3 linked regions of the Schizosaccharomyces pombe genome follow. The gene in region 1 interacts genetically with each later gene. Each region holds a gene or a part of one and is shown in the gene's direction. Other genes may lie near its edges.

Region 1 (5,683 bases):
TACTAGCAATACAACGGTCCATAAGATTTTCACAAATTACTTCCAAAGACTGCCGCGCAACAATGCCTCTTCTTACAAACTCCACGACTTGTTGAGAGCTCTTGCAATCCCAAATTCCATCACAGGCCAGAATTAAAAATTCATCATCTGGATCTATGTTATGAATAACGACATCAGGAAAAGCTGTAACGATCTGTTTTTCTGGAGGTAAGGAACTGTCTTTCTTGTACTCAAAGTCTCCAATGGCACGAGAAAGAGCCAAACTACCATTCACTCGACCAAAGTCGATGAATCCCCCTGCAGCCGTGATTCGAGCTTTTTCCACGTCGTTGTTTGGTTTGTGATCAAAAGAAAGTGGTTCCGCAGTTCCCTTTCTACCTAAGACCGTTCGCGAGTCCCCAGCATTTGCACAATATATTACTTGATGGTCGACAATCAAGGCAGTGGTAGCTGTGCATCCCGAAGGATCTTCCTGCATGTCCCGATCTTGCATTAACGCATTGTCTGCAGCCAAAAAACCAGATTTCAAAGCTTCATCATAGTTACCCTTCCAAAAAGACGGCTGACTTTTAATGATATCTGGTAAGTGCTGCCTGCAGTACTTGGCGACTCTGTCGCCTCCGTGCCCATCAAAGACCCCAAAGAAGCTTGTCGGAGGATTAGAAGAATTGGAATCCGTAAAGTTTAGCAACGCACAATGCGCGTCTTCCATCGAAATACGCCATCCTTGCATGTGTGAAACGCCAAAATGAAGCCATCGATCCCCGCCAGAACTCGAATGTTTGTCGAGTACGGGTTCTGAGAGTGTTTGGCCCATGTGTATATTTTCTATTACCTTTGTTAGCCCAGCTAAAAAACCTGTAATTTGCGGTTGATGCGTTTAGTAAAGTTACGGAAAGGAAACAAAAAAAAGTGTATGAGCAAATTAATAGGGAATTTAACCACGCTAGCTAAATAATATATAAGGATACTTTAAAAAAACTTTATATCGCATTACGCTTTAAAGTTGTCTCGTTAAAAAATAGCGATTTTCTGTACACCACGGAAGCGTTGCTTTGCAAATTCGTACGCTTTACGTTATTAACCAAATCGTTGTTGGGTAGAAAAGCGTGAAAATGAAGGGTGGGTAAATAATTTAGTAGAAATGATTTACAATATAAAAAATAAATTTTGATACTGTTAAGCTTCAATGTGCTCCAGCTCCGGCTAATATACCCTCACAAAGACACTAATGAACGATGCCTTGAAATTGCTAGCGCATCGAGGAGCCCTTACTTATAATAAAGCTATGGCGATATCGAAAAAAGTAATCCAAACCCAGGTCTAAAAGCAATTCTTGCTTCTTTCCTTTCACTGTTCGCTCTGGCAAAAAGGTCGTACTGGGAGTCGAACCCAGATCTCGAGAATCAAAATCTCGCGTGCTAACCGCTACACCATACAACCGAGTACGGTAAAGCCGTAGATTATGTTGCTTTACCATAAATGAAAAGTTAATATAATAATCCAAGAGGTAGAGAAATGAGAATGGAATGTTCATGAAAATGTCGTAGACTTTTTCCCCATGCAACTTGGTACATTAATAATACAATAATAAACATAATCTTATTCAAAAAGGCTTTGCTCACAATGCTCATATACCTGCTTACACTAGTCAACTGTTTATACAAGCTCTTCGTAATTAATGTATTAGAAGCTAACTTCGTTAAAAATGTTAAACGTTCATTTCCCGCGATTCGCTATATGGTAAATTTTTTAAAAAGAAATGAGCTGTAGCTAATAAATATCAATGAATGATAGATTGACGCAGCAATAAGAAAAACCATGTATTTTGACTACTGATTTACTAATTTTTAAATCGATCGTGACGTTTTTGTTGTCAATAGCAGCAATAAATCTAACAGTCATCATACTCTGAGAATTTTGCCCTACGACATGCACCTAAAAGACAAGAAACGCAAGTAAATTTTTATAATATTTCAATCATACTGCTGACTGTGCGCAGGTAGTCCTCGAATGTATATATATCTTGTAAATAAAGGATTCATCCTTGTACCGAAATGATATATACTGTACAACCTACAACGTCTTTCTCGGTCGCGCACTGTGTAAGTTCGTTTTTACGAATGCTAAAATAGCTGCTCGCAAATTGGTATAGCAAATTGAGTGTTTATCCATTATCGTTCATTTCTTGTCAGCAATACTACACTACGCTATGATACACTACGTTGCGCATCACTATATGTCATATGTTGGAATACTAGCTAAGATCCGTTTATTGATAATCACGGGTAACTATCCGTCTATATACATAGATACCCGATGATAACAACTATTTAGAAATATTATGAATAGAGTTCCAACTGAACCTCGTTCCTCAGTTCAGTTATGAGCTATATTAGTGATAGGTAACATTATAACCCTGTTAATACAATACCTATTCTCAGTTGCTACTTATACAACCTGTGTAATGTAATATAATAGACCACAAGGAAAACTCACCGCAGTTCTACGTATCCTTAAACCAGATACCAAACTGCGTAGCTTACATTTCTGGGGTTTAAAATTAGAAACCTTGAGCTGTCTTACCTTACGTTATTTATTTGATTTATATCGAAATTTCCAATTTCGTACAGGCCTGACTTTTACCATTATAAACAATCATGAATTCATTACAGAAGGGATCATACAAAGTTATTCCCGGGTCCAGCTTCTCAAAGAATTCAAATGGACTTTTATCTATTAAATGTACGTTGCCCATTTATTTTTAGAGACAGTGTATATCTCTGTTGCAAACTATGAACATCATACTTTCTCCAGGCAGAATACTTATTTCTTTTTTGTTTATAGACAATTTTATACCAGAAAGTGTGGACCCTTCTCGTCGAGGTGTTTTAGAAAAGGCTCAGGAAGCCTATCGTCTACGTCTTCCTTCAACTTTTGTAAGTATTATAAAATTGACTAAGCAAAGTTGGTTTCCCTTTTCTTCCATGAGGAGTAAAAATTTGAAAAAATCATTTTTTTACTTTTTGGTTCCTCAAATTTTGAAACATCAATTTGCTTCTGTTATTGAATCAACGAATGCTAATGTATATCTTCATTGGTAGGATGATGACAGGCCTCATATATTTGAAGGCTCATGCCAACGAGCCAGGAATGTGGACTGTGTACTAATTTTTAACGCTAAAACAAAGGTAAGTTATTGTCCCATATACTATTTTTAAAGAGGTTAAAATCTATGTATGCATGCGTGCATGTGTATGTATAGAACAGGAATCGTTTTCATGTCACTACTACGATACTAACATTAGGCATTAGACATTCACACTGGAGCATATTGATGAGATTGCTCGATTAAATGCTTTACGCAATCCAAAAGTCTCTAAAACTGTACCTTCTAATGCCATCACTCAATCTGATAATTCCCAAATCTCTGAATCCAAATCGACCTCTCAAAGTGCGGTCACGACTAATTCCACGAGACGTAAAGAAAAGGAATTGGAAGCTTCAAAGGATGGAAAAATAAAACCTTCATCGAGCAATACTCGATATCCTGCCATATCTAGCAAGGGACCAATCACCACCGATACCAACGATGAGCCTGACATGGAGGTCATGGAGTTGGATGACTTTGCCAAAGAGTTAGAGCTAGGATTTGATCAGGAATTTAATTCCATAGACGACCCCTCTACAGTATCCCAAACGGCCAGCAAACCAATCTCTTTGAGGGGTCTATCTTCGCAAGAGAGGGATTATGCTTCTTCTGCTCAGGCAGAGGGTATCAGCAGCGCTTCCGAGGATGAGGATTAAGTATGCTTTATGCTGTGTTTCGTATACACTTTCCAAACACGATAATGAGAAAATCTGTTAATGAACGACTTGCAACGAAATTCCAGGGAGTAAAGTAAAGCAAGACAAGTCTTTTCCATCACTACTCGACAGCGAATCGGCGGTAATAAACTCGTTTCACTCTGTGTCATTTTTTTAATTATATACGAACGTGTCTACGCCAAGGGAAAAACATATATCGTTTTAAAATGTTTTCATCTTTTTATATTTCTTTTTATTATTATTAATTCATAATGACTATAAAAAACATGGCTTGTCTTAGCGTTTCATGAGACGGACAATTTTATTCAACCCACGGCAATACCAGAGTAGCAACGTTGGGGTTTTAAATAAACTATAAAAAAAAAAGAAGCTTGACTAGTAAAAAAAAGAATTAGTAAAAGGAGTTAAGAAAAACTAATTGTCTGAACCAGGAAAAAGACAAAAAAAGAGTTTTGACATTCGTTTGTAAATTGCTCAGTAATCAAAGTTGACAGCATTTTGGTTGTCAAGACCATCAGGCTCATTAAATCAGATGATTAAGCATCCTTGCAATCCAACATTTGTCGTTTCAGTTTCCTGCATGCAAAAGACGAGCTTACCTATTTAGTCTGAATATATGAAAATGAAAAGAAGTTACTCAAAGCATTTCCACTAAGGAAAATATATTGTTGTAATTAGAAAAACTAAACTAGAAATCACCATCCAACAGCATCAGTCAGTATAGATAGTGTCAACTAGCGGTGTGTTTTACCAGGTAAACATGTTGGACAAGGAATATAATGAATACGTTGTTTAAGGAAGAACGAAGGTAGAGGTGTGTGTGTATATATAGTGTATGGGGGCATTAGGTAACAATGTTGTCTGTAGTTGAGAGAGTGTAAACAAGGATAGAAGAGAGAAGAGGATTTAAAATAAATAAAAAAATTGAATAAATAAAAAATTTAGAAAAGAATTAATTCATTGATGCAAAAAAGAAAAAAACAAGAAAAACATCCAAGAGAAAAAAAAAAGTTGAGTTGATTCTTTTGATGTTTTCATGACAAATGATTAATCAGCAATATACTTGAAAATATGCAAATTGAAATTGAAATTCAAATTCAAATACAAAGTCAAATTCAAATTCAAATACACACATACGAATTCTAATTCAACCACACTCACACACACACTCCCTCCTCGTCTATCTTAACAACACATTCCAACGCACTACCCTTCATCTTTTTATTAAACTCCTACATCGTACCTCCATCGCACCACCTTCCATTTCCTTATCTTTCACTCCAACTCACATTACCTCCCTCACCGTTGCTGAACCCACCCTACACTATTCTCGCTTACGATACAACGCTCCAATCCCCAACGGTCCATCTCCACGGACTAGTTTCCTCATTCTACACGGGTCCAATGATACTTTCTTGGTAAGCAAAAGGGATACAAAGGAAAAGGGATGTTGCATTCTCATTTGGAACAAGCCTATCAGCCTATCCAATAATGTAATTTATTATTATTACCATCTCCAACCAGCTTCCTTCTTTACCTATCTTTACGCTGCGACCGATCCAATGAAAATTCAAAGAAGCTTAGGTAGAGTGGGTGCAAGTAGAATATCGGAGTTTAAGAAATGTACCAATGTGCGTTAAAAGAATGGTTTCGCAAAGATTACGTCGCTCTATTCCAAGAATAAAATTTTATTTTGTAGTGCAGTAAAATGTAATAAAGTAAAGCGATAAATTTCATAATATTCTTAGAGAAAGAGAAAGAGAGAGAGAGAGAGAAAGTATGGGGGAAATGGGAAATAAACAATTGTTGGAAATTTGGACCGTTTCAACAGGAATCCCATTTTTCCATCCTTTTC
Region 2 (7,014 bases), on another chromosome or scaffold:
TACAGTTAGAGAAAATACACTTTAAAATATAATAATGGAAAACAGCTATATTAAAAATCAATATTGGCATAGCAGATCATTCATAGTATTATATAACTTCTTGATATAAAATTGTTTCTTTTTTCATTTATTTGTTCAGCTGTATATGGTAATCCATATTTCGTACTAAGCGCTTCGTCTACCGACGTTGTAGGTTCAACCTTCCATGTACATACCTTCCAACAAAACTTTCTTACATATTGATGGCAAATAGTGGCTTATAGACAGATATTTTAGTTTAACTCATTCTCTAAAAGTAAAATCACTTGCATTCTTTTGAGGTGGTAGAGGTGGTTTAAACTCAAATTGTTAAAAATTTGTTAAAGTATGCAAAAATGAACACCGAACTGGATATGCAGAATTTCGAACATATTAAGTTTCTAGAGAATCAGATTAGTGAGGATCATTTTCGTTGGAAAAAAAATTCGAAACATCTATACAACTTACTAATAACCCGTACTTTAACATGGCCCTCTTTAAGTATCCAATGGCTCTCAGCAATGGAATCGATCACTGAAAAAGCGGTTTTAAAAAACCGTCTTCTCCTAGGGACTCATGCCGCTGAAGGGATGCCAAATTTCTTGCAGCTTGCAGATTTAGATTTACCTGATTTCAATCAAACTATATTGGATCCAGTAAAACACTACAATGAAGATACTGGTGAGCTAGGAGGCTATAGTATGCAACATTCTTGCAAGTTCCAAATCTCGCAACGAATTCTTCATAATGGCGATGTAAATCGTGTTCGACACATGCCTCAAAACCCAAACATCATAGCTACTATGAGCTCTTGTGGAAATGCATATATATTTGATCGGACAAAATATACTTCAATGCCCGCTGAAGAATTTTTACCAAATATCTCTTTGATTGGGCACAAAAAAGAAGGGTTTGGACTATCTTGGAATCGTCAGCAAAATTGCCGACTTGTAACAGCTGCTAATGATTCGAAAATTTTAGAATGGGATCTAAATAATTTTAGCCGTGATACGAGGTGCTTAACTCCCGTAAAGGATTTTCATTATGATGATTCTCCGGTTAATGATGTTGAATATCATCCGCACCACACCAACTTATATATTGCTGTAAATGATAATGGAATTGCCTTTATTTGTGATAACCGACTTCAACAAACATGTTCGAAAACAGTTAAAGCTTCAAATCCCCTTTTTAGCGTCAGACATAATCCTTCAATTGCGACTTTGTTTGCTTTGGGGTCTGAGCAAGATTTACAGCTTTGGGACCTTCGGAACTTAAATAAATCGGTTTTTAACACTTCTGAAGACTTATCAGATAATAGATTAAAAGTGCCTTCTAGACTAACTCTAGGAGGCACCAGTTTGTCATGGAGCTGGAGACACTCTGGTCGGATTGTTAGTGCCTGCCAAGAGTATTGCTATGTGTGGAATTTTAACAAAGCTAATCCTTTGGAGTTTGTGCATGCAGGTCATAAAGGTACGGTGAATGAAGTGGACTTTGATCCGTTTGAGGCACAATGTATTGCTTCGGTTGCTGATGACAATGAATTACACATTTGGAAGCCCAATGTTATTGTTAATTAATAAATACTTACATCCATCACACGAGGTAATACAAAGTTTTAAGTTATACAGCAATTAATTAATTGCAATTTTGATGGGTATGTTGCAGGGCTATATTGTATTCATTCATCTTCAAATTTGCTCAACGTGTACATTAAAATTACCTAATGACATAGAGATATTTCATTACTAATGAAAAGATAATTTTTCACTCACTAATCGTCCGTTCGGTAATCAAGGATTTCCTACTTATGTTCTTCAATGTATTTCCTATAAAGTAGTATTAGTAAATATATTCCAAACACTCGCTATAGAGCAATAGCTTTACTTACAAAATGAATTCTTCTTCTTCTTTGCTTTTGGCATTCAAAGGAGGAACATCCTTTGCGCTAAGTGGCTTATTTCTTTTAAACAATTTACTATAGATCACAGGACCAACAAATACTGAACCGAGAACAGCTAAACTCAACTATGTTCATTGTTAGGTGTACGGAATTTGAAAAATACATACTTGATGAGCTTGGAATTGACGACCTGCAATTGTATAAACCGACATAATGCTTATATTTAATAGTGAATGATTGAATCAAGAGAAGGGAGGTAAAGGTTTAACACGGTTAGCAGCGAATATGAAGCCGACTGTAAACTTAGCAATCAATATATTCGTTAAATTAGCTTAACGAAAAATAAGGAATACAGTTATCACTTCAAGTACATATAAAATTGCAATAGAATCAACTACATGAAATTAGGAAGTTAGCTAGCTTTTGCCTTTTATATGAACTACTTCAAATTAGCAGATAAATAGTAAAAAATGTGATTATAGACATTTTGTTTGCATTTAGTACGTTTGCTAAACGTAGAGAATGTACAGGTGTTTCACAGCAAATTTTTAATTAACTGACTATTCTTTTTAAATATCTAAATTTTTCAATCATTCATCTTGCTGCGACATTGCTATACGCTTTCAAACCATATTGTTTAGTTTACAGTACCCAATGTGTATTTATTGCGAAAAGCATCGCTATAACAGCATATTCTTGGGACGCACTTCAGTAAACTGTGTTGTAGTTCGCTACTCCTCAGTATATTTGATACCTTGCATTAACAATAGGAACTATACAGGTACTGGACTACATACCATCTTTTCATATCAGTTACGATGTTACGGCCTCTGTGGCCTCTCTTTCTTACTGCTTTGTTTTTAAACATCTATAGAGCTGCCAGTGTTTTAATAGATGAAGCAGGGAAAAACGATTTCGAAATTTCTCTACTTGGTAAAGTTAATGACCTAGTTTATGACACCAAAAATGAATATCTGTATGCCGTTTCTCAGAAAGGCTTATTGGCGAAATTAAATGCATCAAACGGAGATGTGATTTGGCGCCAATCCATTGCACCTGAAACTAGTCAACTCAACTATAACCCAGTCACTAACTTTATTATCACCGTGGACAAAGATTATTTGTATATTTGGAATTCCAAAAATGGTATTTTGGACAGAAAAATTGAGCTCGCTGATGGAAAAGGTAAATTATTTGAGGTTAATAAAGGTTTTGTTTACCTCAATCCTCATACTCGCAAGTTCATAGAGTTGGATTTGCAAGCTTCATTTTCTATTTCAATTGAAAGGGATTTACAATTAGATGCTATTTCCTTTTTGACTTATGCTGAGAAAAACTACGTCTTGTTCAAGAGGGATGGTCAATTTGTTCTACAAGCTTTAGATCACAATTATGCTGTTTATGGACCTGAAACTGTTCTTAATGTTCCTGAAAACGCACAATTATTAGTCACAGAGAAAGATGTTATTATTTACTCTTCCAACGGTGTTATTTACGGTATCCATGTTTCTATGGCAGATATTTCTCAACTGCTTATAGATGAATATAAAACATTCGAATGGTCTAGTATACCTGGTAAGAGACATGGCTATTCAATTACAGTCGATTCTCAATCCACCCCAGTCACTTACCTCTTTGTTATCATTGATAGCGAATTTGTTTTGATTGATGAGTATATACATGAGGACACCGAAGCTCTAGGATATATCCATATGGAAGATAACCAAACATTTTCTCGAGTGTTTGCAGTGGCTAATCAAATTAAATTCGCACCAGCCACAGTAATTACCATTCCCAACCAGCTTTCTAGACCTGTATTCCGTTTATTTACATTTGCTGAGGGAGAAATTTCCGCAATTGTAATTTTGGACGACGGAACTTTCTTTTCATTTTCGAATACCGAATTAGTTTGGAAGCGGGAAGAAGCATTGGCATATGCTATCAATCCCTCTATTCTTCCAACAACTTTATTGACAAGCTACCAGAAATCCATTCAAGATGAGGAAAATTCATCGGTCTCTTTCTTAAATCGATGGTACCGTCATTTTAATCAACTCATAGATTTCTTGAAACATCCTCATGGTTTTACTTCATCCTCAGTATTGGATGATGCTTTTACCACGAAAATTATTATACCAACATCAACAGGATCTATATTTTGTTTATCCAGCGACCCTAAACAAGTGCACAGGATATTATGGCGCTATGATTTTAATATTAACCCGGAAAGTGTTGAATCTTGGCTATTGGATATTTCAGACGAAGATCCAAAATTTGCTTTTGTGCACCAGTGGAATGATGCTTTTAGCTTTTATATTTTGAATGCATCGGATGGGTCCGTGATATCTCAAAAATCTAGAGACTTTAAAGCTGACGAGTTTTACTACGTTGATAATATCTCCAAAAACTTACCTAATCAAATATTTGCCGTAAAAGATTATAAGGTTTTACCCTTGACCGGTGATAACTCAATATTCGAAAAAATTTCTCAAGAAGCCAATTCTATTTTTGTTTACACTTCTGAAACCAAAGTCGAAGGGTTCAGTATTTCTGCTGACCTTACAATGGATGTTCAATGGTCGTACAATCTAGCCGAGGGTGAAATAGTTATTGCTTCTATACGTCGTAATCCTCACGAAATAGTGGCTTCTTTCGGTCGTGTTTTGCAAAACCGTGAAGTAATGTACAAATATTTGAATCCCAATTTATTTGCGTTATTTTCAAAATGCAAAAACGATTTAGTCGTCTATGTAATGGACTCCGTTACCGGTTCTATAGTGTATCAGAATAAACACCAAGGAATAATATTGTTCGACAAAGTTTATGGAGTCTTCTCCGAGAATTGGCTTGTTTATAGTTATCAGAGCGATGTGCCTAATTTGTCTACCAAGATAATATCAGTTGAGCTTTTTGAGGGATCTCACTCTAACGAAAAAATCGACAGCAACGAAATATATTCTCGTCATAATGATTACAGGCCCTATGCGTTCACTAAAGCATATATATTCGATAGAGAAATTACGACTTTGGGTGTCACCAACACTCCGCAGGGCATCACCTCGAGAGATGTTTTACTTGGCCTATCAAGTAACCAAGTTGCAATGATTCCACAAGCTCTTTTGAGCCCTATGCGCCCAGTCCTTAGACCTAATGAAAAAGCAAATGATGCGTCCTTTATCCCATACGAACCCATTATACCATTGAACGATGATATGGTGTTGTCTTACAACAAGCGCGTGTACGGAGTATCTCAAATCACTTCTGGTATTACTAATTTTGAAAGTACGACGTTGGTTTTATCAACCGGACTTGATGTTTTTTTTACCAGAACAGCTCCAAGTATGCCATATGACATGCTCAGTAGCCATTTTGATAAGAAACAACTTATGTTGACCACTTTTGGCATTCTGCTCGCCGTTCTGTTAACAAAGCCTTTGGTAAAGAAAAAGCAGCTTAATACCAAATGGTACAATTAAAAACACCATGGAGAATAAAAATATACTTGATTAGATTTGCTACAGATTATATAGGAATAATAATTCTTGGATAAAACACTAGTTTACTTGTATTACTTGTTTACTCAATAGTTTAAAAAAAAAATATTAATCCCCATGAATATATATAAATTAATATCGAACGCGTTTATCCCATAATAATAATTTTTTTTTCTTTTCAAAAAATTAACCTTTTTAACACTTTTAATGTTCGCAATCAAAAACAAGTAATTCGGTGTCATCAGAACCGGTTACAACACGTTTACCATCTGGAGTAATAGCCATACACAAGATAGGCTCTTGATGGCCTGTATACTCGCCAAGTAATTGGCCAGACCGAACATCCCATTTTCGAATAACACAATCCGCGCATGCAGTCAACAAATATGGAGTGTTGGGTAAAAACTTACAATCAATAACCGCTTGTTCATGGGGAAGGGATTTTCTAAACTTAAGGGATGCAGAATCGTAAAGCGCGACAGTACCATCGACACTAGCACACGCACATATAGGTAAGGCCGTGCAAAGTGCGATAGCTTCTACACTTTCAGTTTGGGCCTCCAAAGAAGCAAGAATATGACTACTATTAATGTTGACAACTTTTACTTTTCCTGACGAACCTCCTAAGAAAAGAACGTTACCTTCAGCATTACAGTCGAAGCTGGTCCAACCGGCGGCAGTTTCTTCATTACCAGGATCAAAGCGATGATCATCACTAGACATTCTGCATTCTGGTGCTCCAGTAGCCGGGTTCCAAACAATTAATGTACCAGAATCATCTACGGTTGCTAAACGCTTGCCAACACCGGGTGGGATGAATTTTCCAGCATTTACAGGTGCCGTATGGCCATACATAACCTGAACCACCTTACCAGAGGGAAGACTCCACATCCATATACTTCCGTCATTACAACCGGCGGCTAAGAACAAGCCCTTAGGGTGCCAAGATAACCAAACAATTTCGTCCACAGTTTCAAAAGCAGTAATGAACTCAAAACCTGTACTGGATTTCCACAATCTGACTTGACTATCCATACCACCAGTAGCAATATAAGTTCCATCAAAGCTCCAGTCTATAGCTACTATGGAGTCTTTATGTCCTGTCAATTGACATATTTGTTCACCGGTAGTAATGTCCCATATATACCCTAGGTCATCTCCTCCACCAGACGCGCACAGATTTGAATGCACTGGATTGATAGAGACGCTGAATACAGAGTCTTTATGCTCGAAAAAACCTTGAACAGACATGTCCATAACCATGTTATTCATAGTATCGTTTTGTTCTTGCTCAGCTTCGTCCTCTGTGACACCTTGGTCCATTAGTTTGTCATTATCTTTAATAACTTCTTCTACTTCATTTTCTGCTATGTATAATTCTTGATTTTCTTCTTCTTCGGCCATTATTAATGTGGGTGTGTACCAGCTAAAAAGCTTTGCAAAGGTCAAGCTTAGTAAGGAAATCAGTATGTATGTAATTTTACTTAGGTAATAATATATTAATTTTATTCATTATATATACATATAATAAAAATAAATAACAAAAGTATCTTAAAATAAAACTAGTTTAATTAAATTATTTATTACGTTTAACCA
Region 3 (9,984 bases), on another chromosome or scaffold:
GTATTCGGGAGGTACTAATCTTGGAAATTATGACAAACTAACATTACAGAAACTGACTGCAGAGGTCGATTTGTTAGACGAAAAGTTAAGAGTTTTGCAACTTCTCTTGGCAAACTGTGAACAAAGTAGAAATGAAAATTTACAAGAAAAAGAACATGGACTAACTTTGGAAGATTTAGAAAATCAGGAAGAAATTTTAGAAGCTCTTGAGATCATTAAAAGCAAAACCAGAGGATTAGCAGAATTGGCATCGAATTTTCCATACTATAAATATAACGGAGTCTGGGATCGATCAATTCAGAAAGTTGTTTATTTATATTTGCTAGCTTCCTGGACCGGTCGTTTAGATAAAAGTTTAAGACCCACGTACAGCCTTCTATCGCTTTCCGAAGTTGGTCAAATTTTGCAAGGTGCGTAAATTATTTTACATTTTTCTCACAATCTTCAGTCCCGGTTTTTCCAGAAGAGTCCACTTTTCATCTTTCAATTGAGCAATATTTGCACGCAGTACTATCTCTGTGTTCTGAACTGGTATATATTCTATTCAACAATCCAAATTGACACAATTTCTAGGCTCGTCAATCTGTAAACTCAGTAATATCTGGAAACTATCATATTCCATTTGAGGCCCTAAATACTATTCAAAAAGTTCATTCTTCTTTTCAAGTACTCTCTTTGAAAAACGACTCCTTAAGAAGACATTTCGATGGATTAAAATATGATTTGAAAAGATCTGAGGACGGTATGAAATTTACGTGGATTTTTTTTTTTTTTGATAGTTTATTTCTGACATATGCAGTTGTTTATGATCTTCGGATACATAAATTGGTTTAAATTGCTAACAATTTATTTGCCAGCTGTACGCTTGACTAAAATTGAGCCGATAAAATTGCTTTTTTAATATTAGGTCTGCTTATTTGCTATGAAACTGGCAGTCCTATGATGAATGCAATTATATTTCTCTTTCTTTAATTTTGTTACACTCTCTGGCAAACTGAATAGTTATTTAAAAAAAAAATATTTCAGCCTAGGTTTCTTTAAGTTCTGATTTTTCTTTACCCAATATTCAAGACGTTTTCCAGGGTACTAAATTAATCATTGGACTGGTATACAACATGTGTTATAAGTTAGTCGCATTTTACCAGATACATGTTAATGGCGGCATAAGTAGATACTTTTCTAACTTTTAATCAACTGCATTTAGCTTATATTTCTTGATGTCCTATGCACCTTTAAAATCTTTCAACAAATGATTACTATTTTTAAATTGAACAACCCTGATTGCGTAGAAGGCGTGCATGTTTTTTTAGCGATTAAAATCCGGGGTCTTACTAGTGTTAATCCTTAATTCTTTTAGAACAATTGATAAGGTAAAGGGAAGCAAGATTAAATTAAAGAGACCGCAAATTGAAATTACTGTGTTTTTAAGCCTAAGCAATACTTACTAGTCGTAAGTAATAAGTCAGTACCGAAATTGAGCGCATTACGAAATACAAATTAAGGATAAAAATTAACTGTTTACTAATGTTTAACGAACTAGTAATTTTCGTTAAATTCATGAAAAAATATATCAAAAAAAAGCTGGAAGTTTTCAAACATATGTTTTACGGCTGATTTTATTCAACCTTCTATTTTGTAGAACATAAAGAAAATGCCATTAATAATTGTTTCAGGTTATCCATCTTCAGGGAAAACAACGAGGTCAAATGAACTTAAAAAGGCTTTAGAAGATCGAATTCATCAAAATATCGACAATACAAAGGATTATCGGGTGATAATAATAAACGATGAGAGTTTAAACATTGAAAAAGAAACATATCGAGGTATGTTTAAATAGTTATCTTTAATGATTTAGTTTTTGGAAATTAGCCAATTCATTTTTGGCTTCAGATTGTGCCCAGCTACTCTAGATGATGGGAGAATCCGTATATGCAATTTTTCGTAATTCTGGTAACTAATTTGTCTTAGAGTCCAAGAACGAAAAGGCCGCTCGTGGCCTTCTCTATTCTGCTGTTCAGCGTGAACTTTCAAAATCTACATTCGTAATTTGCGATGCCTTGAATTACATAAAAGGATTTCGATACCAGTTATATTGTGAATCAAAGTCTATGTACACAACTCATTGTGTGATTCATGTTGCTGTTCCTCAAGATTTATGTCGAAAATTCAATAGTAACAAGGAACAGCCGTATCCTGACGATGTTCTTGAGCAATTAATGTTTCGTTATGAAGAACCGAATGGAATGACACGATGGGATTCCCCTTTATTTACTGTCTTGCACGATGATGCTTCTTGTCCTATCGATGACATCTGGTCAGTTCTTATTCATAACAAAAATGTCAAGCCTAACCAAGCTACAATGGTAAAACCTCCAGCTGAAGTCAACTATTTATATGAATTAGATAAAACTACTCAAGACGTAATCATGCTTATACTGGATAATTCCAACGATACCTCCTTGATTACTGTACCAGGGAGCAAACTTCAAATCGCATTACCCAGTGTTACAGTATCTCTTCCTTTACTTCAAAGATTGCGCCGTCAATTTATCCAAATTAACCGGCAACAATCATATAATACCAATGTTCTCAAGGAAATGTTTGTCGAATTTTTAAATGGTCAATTTGAAACCTTGGACTGATATCCTTTTCTTAAACTTTATGATATTTTTTTTTGGGATTTTTAAGGGGACGAAAAAATGTAGCCTAATATTAATACTTAACTTTGTTTGTTTCTTTTTTTTAGAACATGTTTAAAATGGTAGAAATCGTACATTTTGTTTAATTCCTTAATCCTTTTACAGTTTAAGGAATGCTGTCCTGTAAAAAAGAAATAAGAAAACGTTCACGGTCAATATCGACAATAAAAGTTTCAGTAAAACAACGAATATTGTATAAATCTAGTTATAATGTTTACTATTTAATCCATACTGTAATAAAACAATTTATTATAAGTCTCGCTCGTTTGCTTTATATAAGTAGCACATTGAACCGAGATCTAACGTTCGACACATTAAGGCCGAAAACACTTAGCAAAGACATACTCCGCCTTATATTTCATTGCTAAAAGTTGGCTCGTCTAGACGGCAATTGGCTTGAACGTGACCGATGCCAAAATGCAGGATGCCTCTGAACCTGTGATCAATATGCCTGCTCTGCCTATGAACTCCGTGAATGAGCAACATGACAGACACGAAGATCTTCCAGAAGTTGGAACAACATCAGTTACTAAAATTATTAATGATTCTGACAACGAAGATGATGAAAATGGTATGGATCTCGGTCGTGTTGCTTCTGAAAGTTTAGAAGGCGATGCTGTGGTAAGTATTGATATAAATACAGAAGATTCGTCGTTGTCGCCAGCGAAACAAGAAAACGAAAAGAGTCCCGAAGGAATCGAGCAGAAATATCAAGAAGAAGACTTGAAAGACGACAAAAAATCCAATGAAACTATCGCGACGCCTGTACCTGACGCTGCATCGAGGGCCAGTTTGGAAAAGCAAAAATCAGGTTTAACCAATTTGGAAAAATCCACTCATGTAGTGCTTATAAAGTGCATCGAGCAGCTTATACAAATAAAAGTTTGTATGAAGAACGAGAAGATGAAGAATTTAATGGAGCAACTAAAACCTCTTCTACAAACCGAATGTCAGTTTGACAAATTTTTGATAGTAGAGTTATTTCAGTACTGCTTTGAATCCAGTCAAGATGAAGTTATGAACATTTCTTTAGACACTATTTCTAAACTTGCTTCATTCGCCTATTTTTCTTCAAAAGATAAAACACCTGCCTCATTTGGGCCCCCTAAATCCCTTCTACAGTGTATGGTTGATATGGTATGCGATAGTATCAATGATGAAGTTGTTGATGGAAATCTGCAATTGAATGTTGTAAAAGCTTTATCTGCCTTTATCTTATGTTCTGAGCAGGATAGTATGCTTCATGGAGCGATATTATTGAATTCTGTTCGTAAACTCTTTAATGTCTTTCTTCTCGGGGATAGTGATACTATACAGTCAGTTGCTCAAGCTTCTTTGACTCAGGCTGTCACTGTAGTCTATGAACGATTACGCGCGAGCCACACTCAGTCGAACTCTACATCTGCTTTACCGGAAGAAGATGCATCGGTGACGGAAAATTGGGTTCACGATGAGGATGAGCCTGACAAGAAAATTACTCTTCATTCTATGGCATCTGCTGGCACTTCATCATTAGATCATGTTAAAGTTGACGCAGATGACCCAGCTGTCACCAGTGTTGAGAATTCCTCTATCCAAGACGCGTTTTTAGTGTTCCGATCCATGTGTCGACTTGCTGTCAGACAAACCTCGCCTGATAAAGTCAGTAATATCAGATCTCAAGCTATGCGCGCGAAATTAATTAGTCTCCATCTTATATATCGCATTTTAGAAAAAAATAGTGACTTATTCATGGATCCTACTCTCCAATTTCGTGGTATCCCAGCACTTAAAGGAATGACCCTTGTTCATGCCTCCCGTCAATATATTTGCCTAGTATTATCTCGCAATGCTGTAAGTCCTGTTCCCCAGGTGTTTGAAGTCTGTTGTGACATTTTTTATCTTATGGTTTTTTCTTTGCGTGCCCACTTCAAACAGGAAATTGAAGTGTTTTTTCGAGAAGTTTATTTTCCGATGTTAGACCTCAAGAACACCTCCTACAATCAGAAGCTCCATACCTTGTTAATCATCCAGAGAATCTGTCTTAATCCAAGAGCTCTTGTAGAGTTGTATATAAATTACGATTGTGATCGTTCTTCCACTACCAACGTTTTCGAACAATTGCTGTTTTCAATCTCAAAAGTTACTACCAATGGTCCTTCGGAAACGATATCCGAAGATATTGAAGAAATTCTTCCTTCTTTAGAATCTTCTGAACGGAGTAGTACCCCTTTTCTAAATACGAACTCTGCTTCGTTAAAGTCCGAAGTGGTTCAACTTACCACATTTAGCGATTTTCAATTGAAGCTAAAGACTTTGCAATGCGTCCTTGACATTTTGCAATCTTTATCAAATTGGGCCGAAAGTGGTCTTTATTTATCTCGCCGAGGTGTGTCAACGGATGAGCAAGGTTTTGTTGGAGATTATGATGCGCTTTCCAGGTCTGATACTCCTGTGACGAATCCTTATTATAACGGAAAACAATCGTTTGAAGCAAATTCCCATAGCAGTAGTTCTATCGCACTTGCAGATCCTTCACAATTTGAATCAAACAAACAACGAAAGAAGCTATTACGGACTTGTATAAACAAGTTCAATTACAAACCTACTAGAGGTCTTAAGATGCTTTCAGAAAATGAATATGTTGACATAAATGATCCTAAAGCTATCGCTGAATTTCTGTTTCGTGCTGATGGTATTGACAAAACTACTTTAGGAGATTACTTAGGAGAAGGGGATGAGAAAAGTATTTCCGTGATGCATGAATTTATTGATTGTTTATCTTTTATAAATTTAAAGTTTGTAGACGCTTTACGTCGTCTATTGCAGTGTTTCAGACTACCCGGTGAAGCCCAAAAAATTGATCGAATTATGCTGAAATTTTCCGAAAGGTATATGAAGGAGAATCCGTCTGCATTCGCTAATGCTGATACTGCCTACATTCTTGCTTATTCTATAATATTGCTTAATACTGATTTGCATTCTCCTCGTATTAAAAACAAAATGACAAAAGAAGACTTCATTAAAAATAATCGTGGAATTAATGACGGTGCTGATTTAGATGAAGACTATCTTGGTTTTGTATATGATGACATTCTTAAAAATGAAATTGCTATGAAAGATGATCAAGAACTCGCAGCGATTGCTCCTTTAATGAATAATTTCAGCACATCTAGTGGATTCACCACATTTACTTCTAATGGACGAGATCTGCAAAGAGTAGCTTGTATTCAAGCTTCGGAGGAAATGGCTAATAAGGCTACAAGTGTGCTAAAAAAGCTATTGTATCAACAGAAACATGGATCACAAAAAACAAATGTTTATTACAATGCTACTCATTTTGAACATATAGGTCCCATGCTTGAGGCTACTTGGATGCCTATACTTGCTGCTCTTTCAAACCCTTTACAAAATTCTGATTATGTTAATGAACTTAATATGTGTCTTGATGGATTTCAGCTTGTTGTCCGTATAGCTTGTCTCTTTGACCTTGACCTTATTCGAGACGCTTTTATAAAAACTCTGACTAATTTTACTAATCTGCATTCTACCAGTGAAATCAAATTACGTAATACTATGGTTATAAAAACATTACTGAGAATTGCATCTACCGAAGGTAATAATTTGAAAGATTCTTGGAAAGATATCCTTACTATTATAAGTCAACTAGAACGCGTGCAACTGATTGGTGTTGGTGTCGATGAAACAGAAGTACCTGATGTTATAAATGCACGTGTTCGTCGAAAGAATGTGAACATTGGTTCTTCAAACTCAATTCGGCATGTTAGTGGAAGTACTTCTCGTTCGACTAGAACTCGCTCACTATCTAAACCTTTATCCCCAGAGGCAGTTTCAGAACTAATGTCCACTGAGGTAGTGTTGAGCATTGATAGAATATTTACCCAAACATCTTCTCTTTCTGGCTCTGCGATAGTATCATTCTTTAAAGCATTATGTGAAGTTTCTTGGGATGAAATAACATCTTCTAGTGATTTGGAGCAGCCAAGGCTATATAGTCTACAAAAGCTGGTTGAGATATCCTATTATAACATGCAAAGGATTAGAGTGGAATGGTCATCAATTTGGAACGTTTTGGGTAGATTCTTCAACATGGTGGGTAGTGATGAGAATAGGCATGTTGCTGTTTTTGCATTGGATTCCCTGAGGCAGCTTTCTATGCATTTTCTCGAAATTGAGGAGTTGTCTCTCTTTTCCTTTCAGAAAGAATTCCTTAAGCCATTTGAGTACGTTATGGCTTCCGATACCGTAGTAGAAGTCAAAGAACTTGTTTTACAATGTGTTAAGCAAATGATTCAAGCTAAAATTTCCAAAATAAAATCTGGATGGAAAACTTTGTTTGGCGTTTTTACATTTGCGGCTAAGGCTAGAAGCGAAATATTAATTTCTATGACTTTTGATACCCTTGTCAATCTTTTTTCCGAGCATTATGATACTTTAATGCAGCAAAATTGTTTGATAGATATGTTGATATCCTTCACTGAATTATGCAAAAATGGAACAAACCAGAAAATCTCTTTACAAAGTTTGGAAATTATTAGAGAAGTTTATTCAAGTCTTTCAACTATGATAAAGGAAGGACTTAGTTCCAAGCCTTCAGTAAATGAGACATTTTCTAAATATGTTTTCCCAGTTTTATTTGCATATTATGATATAATAATGTCAGCTGAAGACTTGGAAGTAAGGTCAAGAGCTCTTCAAAACTTATTTTATATATTCTTAGAAGAGTCTGATGATTTCACTGAAGAAACTTGGGAAGTTGTTTCACGAAAATTTATATTCCCGATATTCTCAATATTTGGACCAGAAGCGGATGAAGCGACTGTTATGTTAAGGGATGAGGAGATCAGGACTTGGCAATCTACTACTCTTGTTGAAGCGTTACGAAGTCTCGTCACTTTGTTAACACGCCGTTTTGACAAACTTCACAATTTGCTAAAAGGTTATCTATGGTTATTTAGCAATTGCATTTGTAGAGATAATATTACACTTTCTCGCATAGGAACAAATTGTATGCAGCAGCTACTTTCTGGAAATGCGTATAGGTTTGAAGTTAAAGATTGGAATCTGGTCGCTGATATGTTTATTGAGTTATTCAAGGAAACCACCCCTCATCAGCTTCTTCTTCTAGAAACATTTTCCAATGGGCAAGGAGCCCCTGTTTACTCCGAAAATGAAAATACTCAATTGAGCCATAAGCGAGGCGGTTCTCTACCGGAAACTTCTCGTTCAATTTCGACATCCTCAATTTCCCCTGAGAAACAGATGGAGTTCCGTTCAATGATTCGAAAATGTATTCTTCAACTACTTTTAATAAGTATTGTTGCTGAATTGTTAGATAACGAGGAAGTTTTTAATCATATCCCCCATGAACATGTATTGAAAATAACTGTGGCTATTTACGACTCATGGCAGTTTGCTCGCAAGTTTAATGAAGACAAATCTTTACGTATTACGCTTTTGAACGTTGGATTTATGAAGCAACTCCCTAATTTATTGAGACAAGAAACGGCTAGTGCATTGTTGTACATCACTTTGCTCTTCCGCTTATTAAAAACCAGAGACCCTTTAGGTAAAACAGAAACGGATCAGAAAATTCATAAACTTCTTTTTCCGGTTTGTGCCGAAATGCTGGATATGTATGCTTCCTTGGTTGTTGAGAAACATACGCGTAACCATGCTGCATGGCAGCCTGTCATTGCTACAATCCTGGACAGTATACTGAATCTTCCTTTAGAATTATTTTCCGAAAACATTCACACTCTTTACTTTTCTTGTTGTTCTATGATTGCAAAGGAGAACCTTGATGATCAACTTAGAGAACTACTTAAAAATTACTTTAATCGTGTGGGTCACATTCTATTAAACCTGAATGCCCAACAGGAATAAATAAAGTGATTTTCAATTAATTTCAATAAATTAGCTTCTAGTAAAACAAATAATCCTTTTATAATTTTAGATAACTTATTGGTAAACTTTCTTTTTTATTCTAAAAAATTGCCCTTCTTTTAAATAAGTTTTTTTCAAAACTTGAACAACCTCTTAATATTCTGCATGTAAGCTAATCAGTATTTGTAGTAATCCAACGCCAGAAGGAAGATGCTACTGCCACACACACCAGAGACCTTTTTTTTAACGATCAATTAAAGATTTTTCGTGAAATATCCTCTTCTATTATTCATTTCATGTCCCTGCGGCCTTTAAATATAGAATAGCTTAAAGTAAAGACGAGTACATTATGAGTTGAAGCATCAAGGTACAAATGGTAAATTTACTTTACAGAAAACATATTAAACTCACAAAATTTTGCCATGACAAAATAATAAAGGGAGCCAGTGATTTGGAAGATATAATCAGGAAGCATGAAGTTACAGCGTATCACAGTTGAAAATAATAACAGAAACTATATGCAAATCATAAACAATGATTTTTTTTAAGTAAAAAAAAATTAGAATTTAGCATAAATGACACATCACTTTAGATAATCATTTAATCCAGTAATCCCATTTATCGAAAACGACATATACTCTTATAATAAGTACAATATTTTCTTTTTTTTTTTTTTTTTTTTTTTTTCTTTTAACCGAAAGAAATAAACCCATTACGCTTCAGTAACCAAAACCAAACTATAGAAGTCAAGTTTCAATAAACAATCCTTGCCTTTTAAATAAAAAAAAGTACAGGCGTCAATAAAAGAACAGACCCAGAATGAACGAAAAATATTGATGCCTCGAGAAATAAAAAAAATATCAAAAATTCTAAACAGTAAGTTTATCCTCAACCTCAGTTTGAACATCTCTTTTTATAATTGAATCCACAGAAGAAGGAATGAATGGAGGAGAAATTGTCAAATTTGAAATGGAACTGGCAAGAGGGGACATGCTGGAGCTAGAGTTTATCTGAGGATACTTGGCCATTTCAAACTTCAAGCGTGACTCTGAAGGTAAAATCCAAGGAGACCAAGTTTCCTTTCTTCTAACCTTAATGGACATAGGAGACTGGAGATCAATAGCAACATCAATAATATCTGAAGCCTTGCAAGCTGCATGTAAAAGATTCAAATCTGTAGAAAAGCTCTTAATTCGATTGAAGGAAGCCAAAAATGCTAAAGGAACGTAACCTTCATCGTCCATATGTTTACGAAGAAACATATCTTTGCACAAGTTTTCAATCGAAAAATAATACTCTAGTTGTGAAGTGAGAAATGCTTGGACATCACAAAGGTAAGGATTAACGCCATTACCATTGACGACGACAGGATAGTTTGGAAATGGACCTTGTATATTAT

The links.
Region 2: mutations in eaf1 (region 1) and emc1 together harm fitness less than expected from each alone (positive genetic interaction), as found in Schizosaccharomyces pombe (one large-scale study listed by BioGRID).
Region 3: mutations in eaf1 (region 1) and sec72 together harm fitness less than expected from each alone (positive genetic interaction), as found in Schizosaccharomyces pombe (one large-scale study listed by BioGRID).

Annotation. Positions count from the first base shown.
Region 1 is NC_003421.2:1,858,891-1,864,573, reverse strand, and holds eaf1 (RNA polymerase II transcription elongation factor Eaf1), read left to right. Parts: upstream 1-2,637; 5' UTR 2,638-2,660; coding exon 2,661-2,745; intron 2,746-2,847; coding exon 2,848-2,939; intron 2,940-3,104; coding exon 3,105-3,191; intron 3,192-3,315; coding exon 3,316-3,807; 3' UTR 3,808-4,107; downstream 4,108-5,683. Other genes in the region: serine/threonine protein phosphatase PP2C catalytic subunit Ptc2, read right to left, coding at 1-817.
Region 2 is NC_003424.3:2,531,079-2,538,092, forward strand, and holds emc1 (protein Emc1), read left to right. Parts: upstream 1-2,707; 5' UTR 2,708-2,742; coding exon 2,743-5,400; 3' UTR 5,401-5,577; downstream 5,578-7,014. Other genes in the region: CAF assembly factor complex subunit B Pcf3, read left to right, coding at 375-1,601; atp19 (F0-ATPase subunit K), read right to left, coding at 1,826-1,850, 1,913-2,049, 2,092-2,136; ribosome biogenesis protein Sqt1, read right to left, coding at 5,623-6,822. UniProt on the Schizosaccharomyces pombe protein: Part of the endoplasmic reticulum membrane protein complex (EMC) that enables the energy-independent insertion into endoplasmic reticulum membranes of newly synthesized membrane proteins.
Region 3 is NC_003424.3:4,385,557-4,395,540, reverse strand, and holds sec72 (Sec7 domain-containing protein sec72), read left to right. Parts: upstream 1-3,047; 5' UTR 3,048-3,116; coding exon 3,117-8,585; 3' UTR 8,586-8,699; downstream 8,700-9,984. Other genes in the region: tsn1 (translin), read left to right, coding at 1-11, 50-125, 174-410, 449-531, 574-742, 800-834; kti12 (elongator complex-associated protein Kti2), read left to right, coding at 1,652-1,823, 1,969-2,642; slr1 (RNA-binding protein), read right to left, coding at 9,455-9,984. UniProt on the Schizosaccharomyces pombe protein: Guanine exchange factor that acts as an activator of arf1 at the trans-Golgi net-work and is thus involved in vesicular budding and traffic between compartments of the Golgi apparatus.